Linked DNA regions of Diceros bicornis minor. The main gene of each other region encodes a partner of the protein of the gene in region 2 in a complex. Links are inferred from orthologs where the notes say so. Each region holds a gene or a part of one and is shown on either strand. Other genes may lie near its edges.

Evidence for each region. The genes of interacting proteins can lie anywhere in the genome.
Region 1: ERC1 (region 2) and PPFIBP1 share a complex: the UniProt entries of both Homo sapiens proteins name them as parts of the cortical microtubule stabilization complex. The link is inferred for Diceros bicornis minor from reciprocal best matches to the Homo sapiens genes ERC1 and PPFIBP1.

What each region holds. Positions count from the first base shown.
Region 1 is NC_080756.1:35,554,482-35,561,641, forward strand, and holds the start of PPFIBP1 (liprin-beta-1), read right to left. Parts: upstream 3,017-7,160; 5' UTR 2,802-3,016; intron 1-2,801. UniProt on the Homo sapiens protein: May regulate the disassembly of focal adhesions. Did not bind receptor-like tyrosine phosphatases type 2A.
Region 2 is NC_080756.1:59,588,384-59,595,771, forward strand, and holds the start of ERC1 (ELKS/Rab6-interacting/CAST family member 1), read left to right. Parts: upstream 1-4,371; 5' UTR 4,372-4,394; intron 4,395-4,416; exon of another isoform or gene 4,417-4,552; intron 4,553-7,388. UniProt on the Homo sapiens protein: Regulatory subunit of the IKK complex. Probably recruits IkappaBalpha/NFKBIA to the complex. May be involved in the organization of the cytomatrix at the nerve terminals active zone (CAZ) which regulates neurotransmitter release.

The sequences.
Region 1 (7,160 bases), about 24 Mb from region 2:
CTAATACGACTTTTTAGGGAAAACTCTGGGAATAAGAAATCACCATTGTGCAATATCTCTTGCCTATGTTTTCACCTTGAAGCAGTGTTTCTTTAATAAAGAATCAATACACAGACCCAAATGTGAATGGATATACATTCACTCATTCCCTCATCCATTCATTGTTTTGAAAACGTAATTCAAAACCAGGTCAGAAACATGTAATAATATCTTTGAAAAGACAGAATGATGAATGAGGTCTTCTTTCCATTAACAGTTTAAAAAACGTGCTATTTGGGATATAGGTACTTTTAAAAATGGGAGACGAAAAACTCAAAAAGGTAATTTTAATGTAACAAATTACCAACATACTCTAAATTAAGTACAAAAATACAAATATTTCATGAATATGAAAGACAGGTCTTAAAAACAAGTCAGCTAGTCAATAACTGAGGGGAAAAATGACCTTGTTCTGATTTATCTCATGTTGGTACAAAGAGTGACAAAGACTCCATAACCAGAACAGAGTTAATGAACTCTCACCGAACTTGTTTCCAAAAAATGTTTACGATGCCCTTGAAATTAGGCACTACTGATCTGGAACTATATTGTGCCTGGATCTCAAGTCAACATTTGTCCACAAAGGCCAGATTATCCTATTGTTTTAAAGCAGCTACTAGAACTATGAGAGCTACTGGTCAAAGAGAATTTAACCAAAACCTGATTCTACCTCTCTCAACAACACATAGGTCTTTCAAATTTTATCCTTTAAAAGTACCGTGTTTTACTACACCACATCTACCTCATAAACATGGACCAAGATGGAGAAATACTGGTTAAATCTAAGCATGTAAAATGACTGTTATTACTCAAACTGTGAATAAAATTTAAAGCTTCGGCATAATCAAGTCCCTAAGCCAGGGCTGGTTTTTTGGAAAGAAAGCATAAATCTGAATTTGGTACATCAGGGTAACATCATAAAGATGCTCCTTACTTGACTGGCTATGAGGGACTGCAGTCTGAACACCTCATCAGCCACAGGCTCCAGAGAGCCCACATCAGCCCACAGGAATTCCACATCATCTCCTTCTCCATCCTACTGAAAAAGTACCCTGGAAAATACAGTATGTTTTACGTACTTCCTATAGAATATAAATAGAAAAAACTTGTTCACCATTATTTCAGAGCCATTAGGCAATTTCTGTTTCCTAACCCAAAACACAAACCAAAATTAAAATGGTCTGGCCTTTCCAGTAGAGCACACCTTCCCTTTGCAAAGAGCCTGCTTTTATCCACCCTGTACTATTTCATTCTTTTAGGAACTAAGAACAATACAGACCCGGGTGTTTTATAAACAACAGCAAAACAAAACACTTCTTTCCAGCCCTGAAACCTGTCATCTGGCTAGAAAGATGGAGAATTCCATTTATAAAGTCCTGTAACTTCACACTTCCCGACTTGGGTTTCTTAGATGCAATGTTGTGCCTTCTTTCTTTCCTCATCTGGAAATGCCCTTTCATTCAGGCACCTGGGATGCAGCCTTGACTCACAATAGAGTCCACGTCTGCCCGTTTCCTCCTGATCTGGTAACAGAAGGATCCTCACTGCTGAGGAACAGAGGTGAAAGAAAAAGGAACTTGACTCAGGAATCTCACCCATACATTTTTTTTCTTCTCCAGAGCCTTAAGCACTGAAAAGTGAGGGTTCTGAATCAGTTGATGGAGTTAACTTTTTGCCCCTGAAAGTCAGTCACACCCAGTTAGTGACCTGGGCACAGAAAATCTCCCAGCAGGAGAAAGAAAGGGTTTGAAACAGAAAATAAAAAAATCAGAATTCTATACTTCCACTTCTGAAAATCTTCCTCCCAACAGGCAACTGCTTTCCCTAAATGCCAAACTGGAACGCTAAATCAAGTTCTCCTTCTACTGCTCTTTGCACTTTCTTACTGAAAGGAAGGATTTGTTTTGGCTCCACATGTTGAAAAATTCATGTTCCTATAATTAAGAGTTTGTGTGCCACACCTTCTGGCCACATTTCCCTGTTAAAACTCTCTTCTCTAAAAATGATCCCTGAAAACACAACTACCAGCCCTGATCCTTTTCTCAAGTGGCCACAGAAAACAGATCTGAAGATTCTCAGCAGCCTTCCCCAACCCTCCAGATCACTCAAGTGATCTGGCACTCAATTAAAACATAAGAGTGAAAAAGAGTTGGAGTTTTAGAAGTGTGCCCCCAAGAGACGGGTTCTCCCACAAGCTCATAATTAATACACCCCAAGTGAGTTTCTCACATCCTGACTGGACTATATAAAAGGATTTATGATGTTGATATATAAGACTGTATAAGAATAACCATAATACTCTTTCATTTAAATCAGTATGTAATAGGTCACAGGGGAACTAAAAAACACAAAACTTTTGTTGTCTCAAAGAGCATAATTTTTGAGTCGACATTTCATAACTTTTTGTGACATTTTTAAATAACCACACACACACACACCCGCACACAGACACAGACACACACTTCTCTGATTGGGGTTCTCAAGTATTACTGGGAGAGAGACTAGGGTGCGGGGGTCTAAGGACACAGACAAGACCTTACATGTCCAATCCTGGAGGTATTTTTCACATATAAACTAGTCGGGACCCCAGGAGTAAGCCCTACCCCGTGCACCACCAAAAGTGCCCTTTCCCACTGGGAAACAGGAGTGAGTTGGAAAAGGAAATCGACCCGGGGAAGAGGAGGAGCAGCTGCAACACCCAGCTGCAACCACACAACGGTGCCACTTCCCTCCGGTCTCCGAGTGGAGCCGAACGCCCTTACCTGGGGGGTGGAGAGCCGCTGGCACTAGTTCCAGAAGTTCTGGTTCACCTTCCGTCGGAGTTCAAAGCCCCAACACTGGAGCCCCGCAGCAGGCTCGCAAACCCCAATCCTTTGCCGTCCGGCCCCCGCCTTCCCCACCCTCTCGGCCCTACACCATGTCAGGAATCCGGGCAGGCTCCGAGCTGGGAGCTGACATCACTCCCAGTTCCAGGTACCTCCCCCTCCCACTGCCGCCTTCTCTCCTCCCTCCCTGCAGGAATTAGCCAAAGAGAGTCCGCAAGGGGGTGGGGTCGGCCGCGCCCGGGCTCCCGCTGATTGGGCCCGGGGACAGTCACTCAGAGGAGTCAACTCATTTTATACATTCCTCGCTGAGCCAGACTAGGGCTGGAAGTGGGTGCTGATGGAAAAAAAAATGCTGCCTTTCCTGCTATCTCTAAGGAAAAGGAGATAATGGGATGGGGGAAGAACCTTGCGGGTCCTGTTAACTTTTCTTGGCGTATTTACTATATCCCAGATCAGAAACGAAACTAACCCACCCGTGCCCCCTTTTTAAGGAAAAACAGTTGCCTCTGTGTCACGGACAAGTACGGTCTGCCGGCGCGTGGAGCGGAAAATGGCTAGCTTGAAGTCATGCAAATAAAGGAAAACGCCAGCTCGCTCTTCTACCCTTTTATCTGGAGACTGCTGAGTGTTCCCTTAGACGAGGAATTTACAACTTCAAAAGCACTTGGGAAGATTTGGAAAGGAATCTCAGAAACGGCGACTCAGCAATGAATTGTTAACTGGTGGCGTTATCAACCATGTGGCTGCTTTTGCGTTTAGCGATGAAAATCACTCCACCCGAGCTTTCAGGCAAATAAAATTGAACCTCCAAAGTAAGAAAAATTACTATTTACCTTACTCAGGACCTTAAGGCTGCTGTTTTCACGCACAACTGAAGGGGCGGCGGCGGGGGGGGGGGAGGATCTCACAATTGGGTTCAACGAGGCACATGAGAATAATTACTGTTGAATAGAAGCGGTTGCAGAGGCTGAGCTATCAATTAAGAATTAACTAACATTTAAGCTTGACGGATATCATGCTGTATAGTCCCCTTGGCTAGCAGAACAGAATGCTTCTCAGGAGATGGTCCTTTCAATATGCCCAATATCCGATTCAATGCAGAACTGAAAGGTGAAAAGTGGCTCTATTGACATGAGATATAAGTAACGCATTATCCATCATCTTCTGGAAGGACAATGAATTAATTATTGACTTTCTGTTGGTTTTTATCGTCTGGGTTTTTTTGTTTTTTTTGTTTTTGGTGAGGAAGATTGGCCGTGAGCTAACATCCTTTACCAATCTTCCTCTTTTTGCTGAGGAAGATTGGCTCTGAGCTAACATCTGTGCCCATCTTCAACTGCCCATCTTCCGCTATGTGGCATACGGGACACTGCCATAGCATGGCTTGATTAGTTGTGCCTAGGTCCATGCTGGCGTCTGAACCCGTGAACCACACGCCGCCAAAGCAGAGCGGGCGAACCCAACCACTACACCACCGGCCGTCCCCTTTATTGTCTGTTTTTTGATACATGACAACATGTCATGCATTTCACCATTCTGCTAAAAACTGTAAAAGGATGCATGGAGTCCAACATCGTGTCTCATTTAATCCTCACAACCATCCTGTAGAGCGAGTATCATTAGCCCCATTTAACATAAGGAATCAAAGGCTCAGCAAGATTATGGCAGTAAATTGCTTCAGAACACCCAGAACTGGGGTTGAAACTGAGGCCCATGTGACTCCAAAGCCATTTTTTTCTCTTTACTCTAAAGTGGTGATTGCTCACAATCTACACCCATTCAAACACTGTCATGCAAAAAAAATCCACAGACCCACTCTATATTAGTACCATGGTGCTGTTTTTCAGACCTACACAATTCCAAGCTCCTAACATATTTCTGATGCCATTTTTCCCCAGCTCTTGGTCCTTCTATGCACCACTACCAAGTGAGTTTTTAAAAACTATTTGGTTTTGCCATCAATATCTTCCCCTCCACATTGGGCCCCCTTTTCCCTATAATTCTTAGCCATTTAAAACTCTCCTAATCTGGCCTCTATTTACCTTTCCCACCTTATCTTCTATTTCACTCCTGGGAAATCCTCTGCTGCAGTCAAACTGGTCTACTCACAGATCCCCACTTGATTCTCACCTTCTGGCCTACGTGGAATCCCCATTCTTCTATGTGCTGTCACACCTTTCTCTCAAAGCCTAATTAAAGTTCTTGTCCTCACTGTGTGCTACAGTGGACAGAAAAAGGGCTTGAGGTCCATAGCTGGGTTCTGCCACTTACTTGCTGTGTAACTTTGGCCAAGTCACTAAAACAACCATCAGAAACCTCAATTACCTCTTCTGTAAAAAGGGGCTGATAATACTCACATCAAAGGTTAATTGAGACTGTATAGATGTGTAAACATATGATTGTATATGTCCAGTTGTATACATTTCCTATCTTCCCAAACCCTGAAGAGCAAGCTCCATACTTAATACCTCTTTGTATCCTTTATACCCAATTCAAGGAAAAAACTCAATAAAAATACAGGACTACAGAAAATTTATCATCATGTCACCTCTAACCCCCTCCATTCCTTAAAGGTACCCTACCTGCAAATAATCTTATAGCCAGAAACCATAATTATCTCTTTTTTTCTCTCTCCCTCTCTTTTTATGCTTTGGCCACAGTCCTTCCCTTTTCCCACTCTCCCACCATTCATGCAACAACCCTTAACCTCCTCAGATATTTTCTGCACCAGCCACTTAACCTGCCTCTTAGCCACTCATCATTCCCTCTCCCTCAGTCAGGGACACACTTGTCTGTTGTACCTGTTGCCTGCCTTGCTCCCTAAGTGCCTTCAGCCGTGGCTGGGTGGCTACCATCATTCTTCCAGCCCCAGTCACAGGGTGGCTGCATCCAGGCTCACAGCCTACAACCAGCAGCAGATGGGGGAGGGAATGTCCCACCGCCACAGAGATGGCAGGATAGAATAACAGGAAGTTGCCTCCCATCCCCTCTGCAGCTGGAGTGATAACAGCTGCCATCAGAGTCCAGAAAACAAAAGACTCAAAAGGAAAGCTGAAAACAGTCCAGGGCTGGGTCAGTAGGGTTCAAACCAGGGGTTCCAGAGTGGGTGAGGAAGGAACCAGTGAGGGAGACTTCAGTCTCCTCTCCACCCCAGCTTTCCCTCCACCTTAGTGTTACAGCTCCTCTCTGTTCTACATTTAGGCTCCACTATAATGCTTCATTTTAAAAAGAGAGTCTAACACTCAGATAAATATATTGAAACCACTGGCCTTGGTATCTTGGGGAAGCCCCAAAGGATCAGGACAATGCAGCAGAAGCGAAATAGGATACCTGCTGAGCAGATACCCAGAGTTTACCCACTACCCTGGATTCTAGCTGGCTTAATGGAAAAGTTTACACCTCCTGTGGTTTCAACACTTATTAGCTCTGTAGGTCTAGATAGCTATTTTCTGCCTATGAATTTTGCCAGATACTATCACTGCGGGGTGGGGGAGAGGAGGAGAACCTGTGAAAGCAGGAGAAAACCTGCAGAGAACAACAAAAGTAGAACTTGAAATGGACCCTAAAGGTCATGTGACACAAGCACCTGTTGGATGCAAGAACCCCTCCTACGGCCCTCCTGACAAGGAGCCTTCCAGCCCCTGTTTGAATTTATCTGGCAACAAGGAGCACACGAGCTAGGAGAGCAGCCCACCACTAAAGATCTTTCTCCTAGGGAGCCGGGTCCTGCTTTTCTGACTCTTGCCCCAAGACCTCTGTCTTGTGTCTCACTTAATTCTCACAACCATCCTCTAAGGTGAGCTTTATTAGCCCCATTTTAACATAGGAATCAAAGGCTCAGCAAGGTTACATAAGTAAACTGCTCCAGAACACCCAGAACTGGGATTGAAACCAAGGTCTCTTTGACTCCAAGCCATTTGTTCTTTATATATCTAAAGCTTTGATTGTCCACGGTCTATCCTTTTTCAGTTCTACCCTCTAAATAACAGGAAGCAGGTTGACTCTTTTTGTTACCCCATCCTCAAGCCTGTGCAGGCACAAGGACGCATCCCCTACTTACTCTGTTTAGATGCAGATGCCGGGAGAGGCCCACCTGACTCATCAAAGTGTGTCATTTGCCTGTCTGGTCTTTATAGGCTTCCAGCTACAGCTCTCTACAGCCCAGTCCTGATCACTCTTGACTCCTTTTGAAACACTTGAACATCTCCCCTTCACCAAGGAACAAAACCCAAACTCTCTTGACTGGCATCCAAAGGCCTTTACATCCAGCCGCCAACTTACCTTTCTGAACGTACT
Region 2 (7,388 bases):
ATGGCCGGAGAAGCGGTGCGTTGGCGCGCGCCCGGGATCCGAACCCGGGCCGCCAATAGCAGAGCGCGCGCACTTAACCACTAAGCCAAGGGGCCAGCCCCTCCCTTGCATTTTCATGTGAATTTTAGGATCAGCTTGTCAATTTCCACACACAAAAAAAGGCAGCTGAGATTTTGATAGGATTGCATAGAGTCTATAGAACAAACAGGGGAGTACTGCCATTTTAATATTGTCTTTGCTACTATTTCTTGATGAACTACCTAGATAGATGATGATTTAGCTTCATTATAAACCCTGTACTTCGCTCATGTCTTCCTATCCTCTCAGTATAGCCTAATAATTCCTTGCTTCTCCATGGTTAGTTTTCCTACTTCTAACAATACATTTTAACAACCATTTCTGGTTCTGCCAACTATACACACAATCTCTTGAATGCTTCTACCTTTACCTCTACCTTTCCTCCCTACATTCCACATCTAAAACTGTCAGCTATACTTTTACCTTTATATTGTCAACATTGATATAATTTATAAACTATGCTTTAACTACAGCAAGATTATCTATAATTTATTAATAGGTCAAGTCTAAAAGTTGAACGCCAGAAAACAGCATTTTCTAAGCTTTCTATCATAGTAATTAATTATTCAGTTGAATTCTCTCTTTTTCAGATTTCTCTCCCAGAACTCCTATCCTTCCATTCCAATCTGGCCTTGCTCTTGGGACTTTTCCTCACTGTTTTCCTGAATTAGATCTAATGATTCCTGGATATGATGTTGTCAGATACCTGTTTTCTACCTCATTTTCCTCAAGCACATCTTCAAGTAACTCTTTCAAAAAAGGGTACATAGGAGTTTAACTTAATGAGTCCCTGCATATCTGAAAATATTTTCATTCTGCTCTTTCACTTAATGATAATTCAGCTAGGTATAGAGGGTTTTTTTGAAAATTAAAAATTTTTTCTTAGAATTTGAAGTTCAAAAAACATTTCTCAGAAACTTGAAGGTCTTTGCCTGTTATCTTCTCATATCTAGTGTTGCTGTTAAGAATTCTAATGCTAGCCTGATTCTTGTTCTTTTATAGGTCACTTTTTTTTTTCTCTTTGGAAATTTAGGACCTTCTCTTTATCTTTAGAGTTATAACATTTCACAAAGTTGTTTTTTCTTTGTTTTTGCTCTGCACTAGTGGATGCTTTCAGCTCTGGAAAATTTTCTTCCATTACTTTTAGGGTAATTTTCCATTATTTATTTACTTTATTTTCTCTTTCTTTTGTAATATTAGTCCTGTTGGATTAACTCTCTATTTCTTCTATATTTTCTCTTGCAATCTCCATCTCTTTGCATATTTCTTCTATTTTCTTTAAAATTTCATTGACTTTATGTTTCAACACTTCAAGTGAATTTATAATTTTAGCAATTTCTTATTTCTAATTTCAAGACCTACTTTTTATTTTTGGATTGCTAATTTATCTGAACATACTGTTCTTATTTCATAGATGTAATATAAGTCTGTAAGCATACTAATTAGTTCTTTTTTTCTTTTTCAGTGAGGACAATTAGCCCTGAGCTAACATCTACTGTCAATACTCCTCTTTTTGTTGAGGAAGATTGGCCCTGGGCTAACATCCGTGCCCATCTCCCTGTGGGATGCCTGCCATAGCATGGCTTGATAAGCAGTGCATGGGTCAGCAACCGGGATCTGAACCTGCAAACCCCGGCCCACCAAAGTGGAGCCCCCGAACCTAACCACTACACCACCCAGCTGGCCCTCAATTATTTCTTTTTAAGTTCTCTGAAGTTTCCCTTGTTTCCTCTGTGGTCACATTTTCTTTTTATCCTCCCCCTCCCCAACAAATTGGAGACTTCCCTTAAATATCTAATAATCCTTGGTGTCTGTTCATATTTAAGATGAGGTAGTTGGAATACTGATTAGGAATCTTGTGAACTTGGGAGGGTCTTTTGAACTTGCACAACTTCACTCTAGGGTAAGTGGATAGGAAACTGGCTATTGTGCCAGAATGAAGAATGCTTTACTCTGAGTCATTAAACGCGCAAATAGCTGCCCAAGTCCTCCCCAGAGATTATAGAACTCTTGACTTTTAGCTTGGGATAACTGCCTAGCTATTGTAGCTGAGATATACAGAGGGTTCTGCTGTTCTGTATAGAAACCTTTATTTAGTCTCCGTGTTTTCAGCCCTGCTTCTCACGCTTGCTCTCTCTTGTCTGTGTCTCCAAATTTCAGTCTCCCTAAATCATCTCTGGCAGAGAGGCCCCCTTCCTTGGCTGCAGCACCTCCTACACCTATTCCACACTATGGTTCCTTCCATTTTGTTTAGTCAGACTGCACTCACTTTCTGTGAGTAAAATTTAAAAATAAATTATCTTTTGGTGGCCCCCTTCCCATTTTCTATTTTGTATGAGTGTGCATCATTTTTTTTAATTATCATTTTATTTGGGGGTCTCAGGAAGAAAAGGCAATGAATGTATGTGCTCAGTTAGCCAGCTTTAATTAAAAAAATCCTAAATGTAGGTTAAAAAAAAAGATATCTGAGGCAGAGTAGGAAATAAGAAAAAACAACCAGTGGAATGGCAAAAAAAAGAAAAATTCTGAGTCTGTGATATTGACAGTATTCCTGTGTATATATAACTTAGTGCATAGCATCTCAAACTCTCCAGATCTACACATTTTAGGGCTATGATGGATCTCAGACATCTAGTTCACACCTCATTTTACAGTTAAGAAAAGTAGGACCGAGAAGCAAAGTGATTTCCCCAAGGCCGCATAAGTAGAGAGTGGCAGAATGAAAACTAGAAGGATATGACTTCCACTTTATTATTTTTTTTACCTCACCACTCTGCTGGGGAGTAACAGGACCGGCACATCAGCGGCCAGATGAGAAAGATCCTGAAAAACAGTCAAAGAGGGATGGCTTTTCCTGGGCCAATAGCTAGATGCCCAAGAAAATGAAATATTTCAGGTTGCTTATTTGGGAGCCATATAGTCAGTCTCCTTCTCTGGCAGCAGCCTAACAATTGGTAGCCATATGTTGAATGTGCTGAAGGGGGCGACTGTACAGCAGGACAGGGACCTGCAAGAATCCAAGTGTGTGGTGATCCTATGAGGGAACAACTAGAAAGCCTGGGCAGGATGAAACAGTAGAATTTGGTGAAGAATGAATGTGAATACTGAGGAGAAACGGGAAAATGTTAGTAGGATTATGAGGGAGCGTAAACTGGTTAACTGCGGTGGCGGAAAGTAGGGGTAAAATGATGACTCAATTCCTTTCAAGGGCATTTTAAATTATTTCAATGAACACTGGAGCGCTGGGAATAAATACAATTCACATCACTCTTCCTTTCTTGGTTTAGAGATAGCTTATCGACATCCTTAATGGATGCAGTTACCCTCTTTGCATGGTTCCGACAAAAGAAAACCCGACTGCGATTCAGCACAAGAGAACTGGCTTGCCTGAAACAAGGTACCAGTTGCCTGGTAGACTTGCCTAGCTGTGGTGAGGACTCAGTAAGACACTGTAGCACCGCATTTGGCACATCGCAGGTACTGAACCTGCACATTAATTTCCGCCCACGCTCTCCTCTCCTGCGACAATCACTACAGAAAAACGACGCACACTGGCGTGGTTCTTCCACGACGCCTGAATTCTTTCCTTAGGGCCGTGTGGACAGTCCCGAGTACCTCAGATCATATTACTAGCTTCCGCGGCCAAAGCTAAGGGTGGGGAAAAATCCAACTTCCCTGGACAAAGGGTGCCCACTGCGGCCGCGGGCGCGCAACCGGGAACGTACTGACAGCCTTAGAGCTAGCCCCGACGGCGCCGGCGGCCCCGGGGTTTGTCTAACGGCCCCGGGAGGGAGGGGGTGGGGCAGCTCTAAGGTCTGGGAAAGCGACGACTCCGCTCTTCGGGCCTGGCCCGTCCACTTCCTACGGCAAGCAGAAGGAGACAAGCGCCGCCTTGCCTCGCTCCCACCTACCGCCTCTTCCCGAGCCGGCTGCGGCTCTCCCCTCCCGCGGCCTCAGGGGCCGCGTGTGTGTGTGTGTGTGGGGGTGTGCGTGCGTCTGCCCCGTGCCCGTTACTCTGCTTCGGCGCGCGGCCACCGCCGGGACCCTGCGTCACCTCGCCGCCCTCCCCTAGGAGGCGCCGGATGCCAGCGGGCCGCCGAGCCGTACTCCCAGGAGGCTGCCAGAGACAGAGGCGGCCCGGCCCGGAGGAGGCGGAGCTCGCGGCGCCTCGCGGCCGGGCCTGGGGGCGGTGCTAGGTGTCTCGCGCAGGGGGCGGGGCGCGGTGACGTCTGCGGGCGCCGGGGCCGTACTGTGGCTGTGGTGGTGGGGGCGGCGGCGGCGGCGCCCGGGCGGTAGCAGCAGCCGCGCTGAGGAGGGTGAGACGGCTGCGGTGGCGGCAGCTCGGAAGTCGGGTGGGCCCTAGAGCTTCCCGCCTTCGCAGGCGCTGAGGCTTTTGCCTTTTCTTCGCCTGCCTCTCCCTCACGGCCCTGGGTAGGGCAGGGCAGCGCGCCCCCGGGCAGGGGCGGAGCTGTAGGTGAGGCTTCGGGACCCCCTCCCCCTCCGCTCCCTGCCGGGGGGATGGGGAAGTCCGGGAGGGGCGGGCCCCACCCCAGCCCACCGGGGGGCTCCACCCGGCCGGGCTCCGGGTTTGGACGGGAGCTGAGGCGATAGATGTGGGGAACCCGGGGCGGGAGGTGGGAGACGGGGGCTCTGGGCGCTCGGAGAACCGAGCGGGGAAGGTTTATGAGGCGTGATGTTGCGGGCGAGGTAGTGGCGAGATGGAGGAATTGGGGAGCCATGAGGAGGTTGGGGTGCGGTCAGGGTAGATCTGGGTTTAGGTGATTGATGTAAAATGTTGAAAGAGGTGAGAATTCTTTTTTTTTTTTCCCTCTGTGTAAATGGTAAGATAGGAGGTGAAGGGTTGTATTTCAAAAAGGTGAGCTGTGGATGTTGCCTTTGAGGCATTTGGAGAAGCGATTGCACTCGGTCTGACATTTCTACTTTAGGGTTTTGGTTATTTTTCTTTTTATCATCCTGGCGGGGGGTGGGTGGGTGAGTCCCGGGGGGAGGAGAATCTCTCTGCTTTTGGCTCGGAGTGGGTAAATTATGAGCGTGGATGGATTTGAAGTTTTAGACCCTTCAAGAAGAGTGATATCTTGGGTTGACAACTTCATTCTGGCAGCAACATAAAGGAATAGGTCCCATTACACTTAGTTCCTTAAAGGTGTTATCTTCCAGTCTTTTTTCTGTACCTGAAAGGTCTCTTTATACCATCTCTTTTACTAGCTTTATTCTGGTCCCTTACGAGAAGGCCTGAGAATCAAGTGGTTGCTTTGGAAGACACATTTCTGAGTAATAGTTGCAGGTGGTTGTGGTTGACTGCTTTGGATAGATAAATGAACAATTTGAACAGTTCTGTCGAAGCCAATTATATGAAAAATGCTTAAATGTTTTAAAGCACTGCTGTCTTTTACAGCTTGTTTTTCAATAGACCTGATGTTAGACATTTTAAGTCTTCAGCACTTAATTATTTGAGATTATTTTTATTTCTCAATTGCAGATGTCTTTATTAGACACTTTGAAAATGAAGTGGAATAATTTTTTTTTTCTGGTAGACCTCTCAATTTCTGAGAAGTGTTCTTGGAGTCAAGGGCTTTTAAAATGCTCTTTAATAACATTTTTGGGGGCATGTGTCTGTCACTTCATAGGGAGATGTTACTACAGTAAACAGCGTTCAGTGTTCTTCACATCAGTGTTTCACAACTTAGCACATCAAATCAGAATCTTCTTTTCTGGACTCCTGCTCCCTATTAGGTTATACTATCTAATAATCACTGACCTTACCTATCAGTGTCATTTGAGCTATTTCTTGCTCAGAAAACAGGTCATGTAATGAACATGTATTATGTAATGGATGGAAGTAGGCATGACTCTCAATAATTCATTTATGGAGGAAGAGAAACCGTCATGAAATGGAATTTAAGCAGTGACTTTCCCAAGGCTTACTCAATTTATTTGGGAACATAGCCAGAGAAGTGCTTTCCTGTCACCCAAGAGAGAAATATACAGATGTGAGTGTCAGTAGTTGCAGATCATTGCCTTTTTTAACATGCCTACTTAATGAGCAGACTATTATCTTCTAGCAAATACTTCTGCTTGAAGAGACTTATAGGAAGCAGATGATATAATAGCTATTAAGTGAGAAAGGGTGTGGTCCAATTTGTAATTATAAATAAAAGATTTAATTAACTGTATTCAGACAGATCAAATTATAAGTTGGTACAATGAATAGTTTTGATTTGGGATTACTTTGATGGAAAAATTAAAGTTCATATGTCTAGTTTTGACTTTTAAATTTTACTGTGATTTAATTGGGTACACGAGACAAATTCGAACTAAGATACTGGGTGAAACTTGGTGCGTATATTGCTAAAATGACATTTGCATGGCTGACTGTGGGATGTTATTCTTCTTGTAGGAATGAAATATATGATTTGAGGGAAAGTGTAAGGTAGAAGTGATCTATTTCTCTTTAGAATTTTTTATACCTAAAAAACCCGCTACTTTTTATCTTTCAAGAAATGTCACTTTTTAGTCGTTACTCTGATATCCTTGTTGAGTCTACTCAGGTGTTCCTTTTTTTAAATTACTAAATTAAGATAAATATGTCAGTCTGTTAATTCAACATTAATACTGAAAACAATTGAAGCTTTTAGCAACAACTGCTCCTCCTCTACGATATGTTTATGCTTTTAGAACTAGTATAAGAGCTGTTAAATGTGTGTTTTACACATAGTGTATCAAAAATATTGATGGAGAAAGACCAGGAATGAAGTATTTTGGTTAATCAAATAATAACCAGTACATTGATTATCAATTTTAAGAGAAATATAATGTAATAAAGTAAACTTAGCATAAAGGTTATGTGGAATATGATTTTTTTTCTATGGCTCTTCAACATCTGAGCCTTAGGGCATTGATTCATTCATTTATTCATTCAACAGTAATTTATTATGGTTCCAAGTACTTTTTTAGACATTGGGGATACAGTAGTGAACAAAGTTGACAAAAATCCCCACCTTCATGGAACTTACCTTCTAGATACCTCTGGGGAAGTAAAGAGGAACCCAGCAAAGGAGAATGATAAGAGGTCATTGAGTTAGCAGGAAAACCAGGGGCGTGTGATGTACGAGAAGTGAAGGAAAGGAAGTTTCAAGGAGGAGGGAATGATCAACTGTGTCATTGTTTAAAGATGTGTCAGAGTGTTGGGTAAGAGAGAATTCTGCTTGATTATAATGTCTAGTAACAGAGAAATGACTAAATGCTTTTCAGTGGGAGATGAGACAAATGTAAGAATCTTTCAGTTTTTT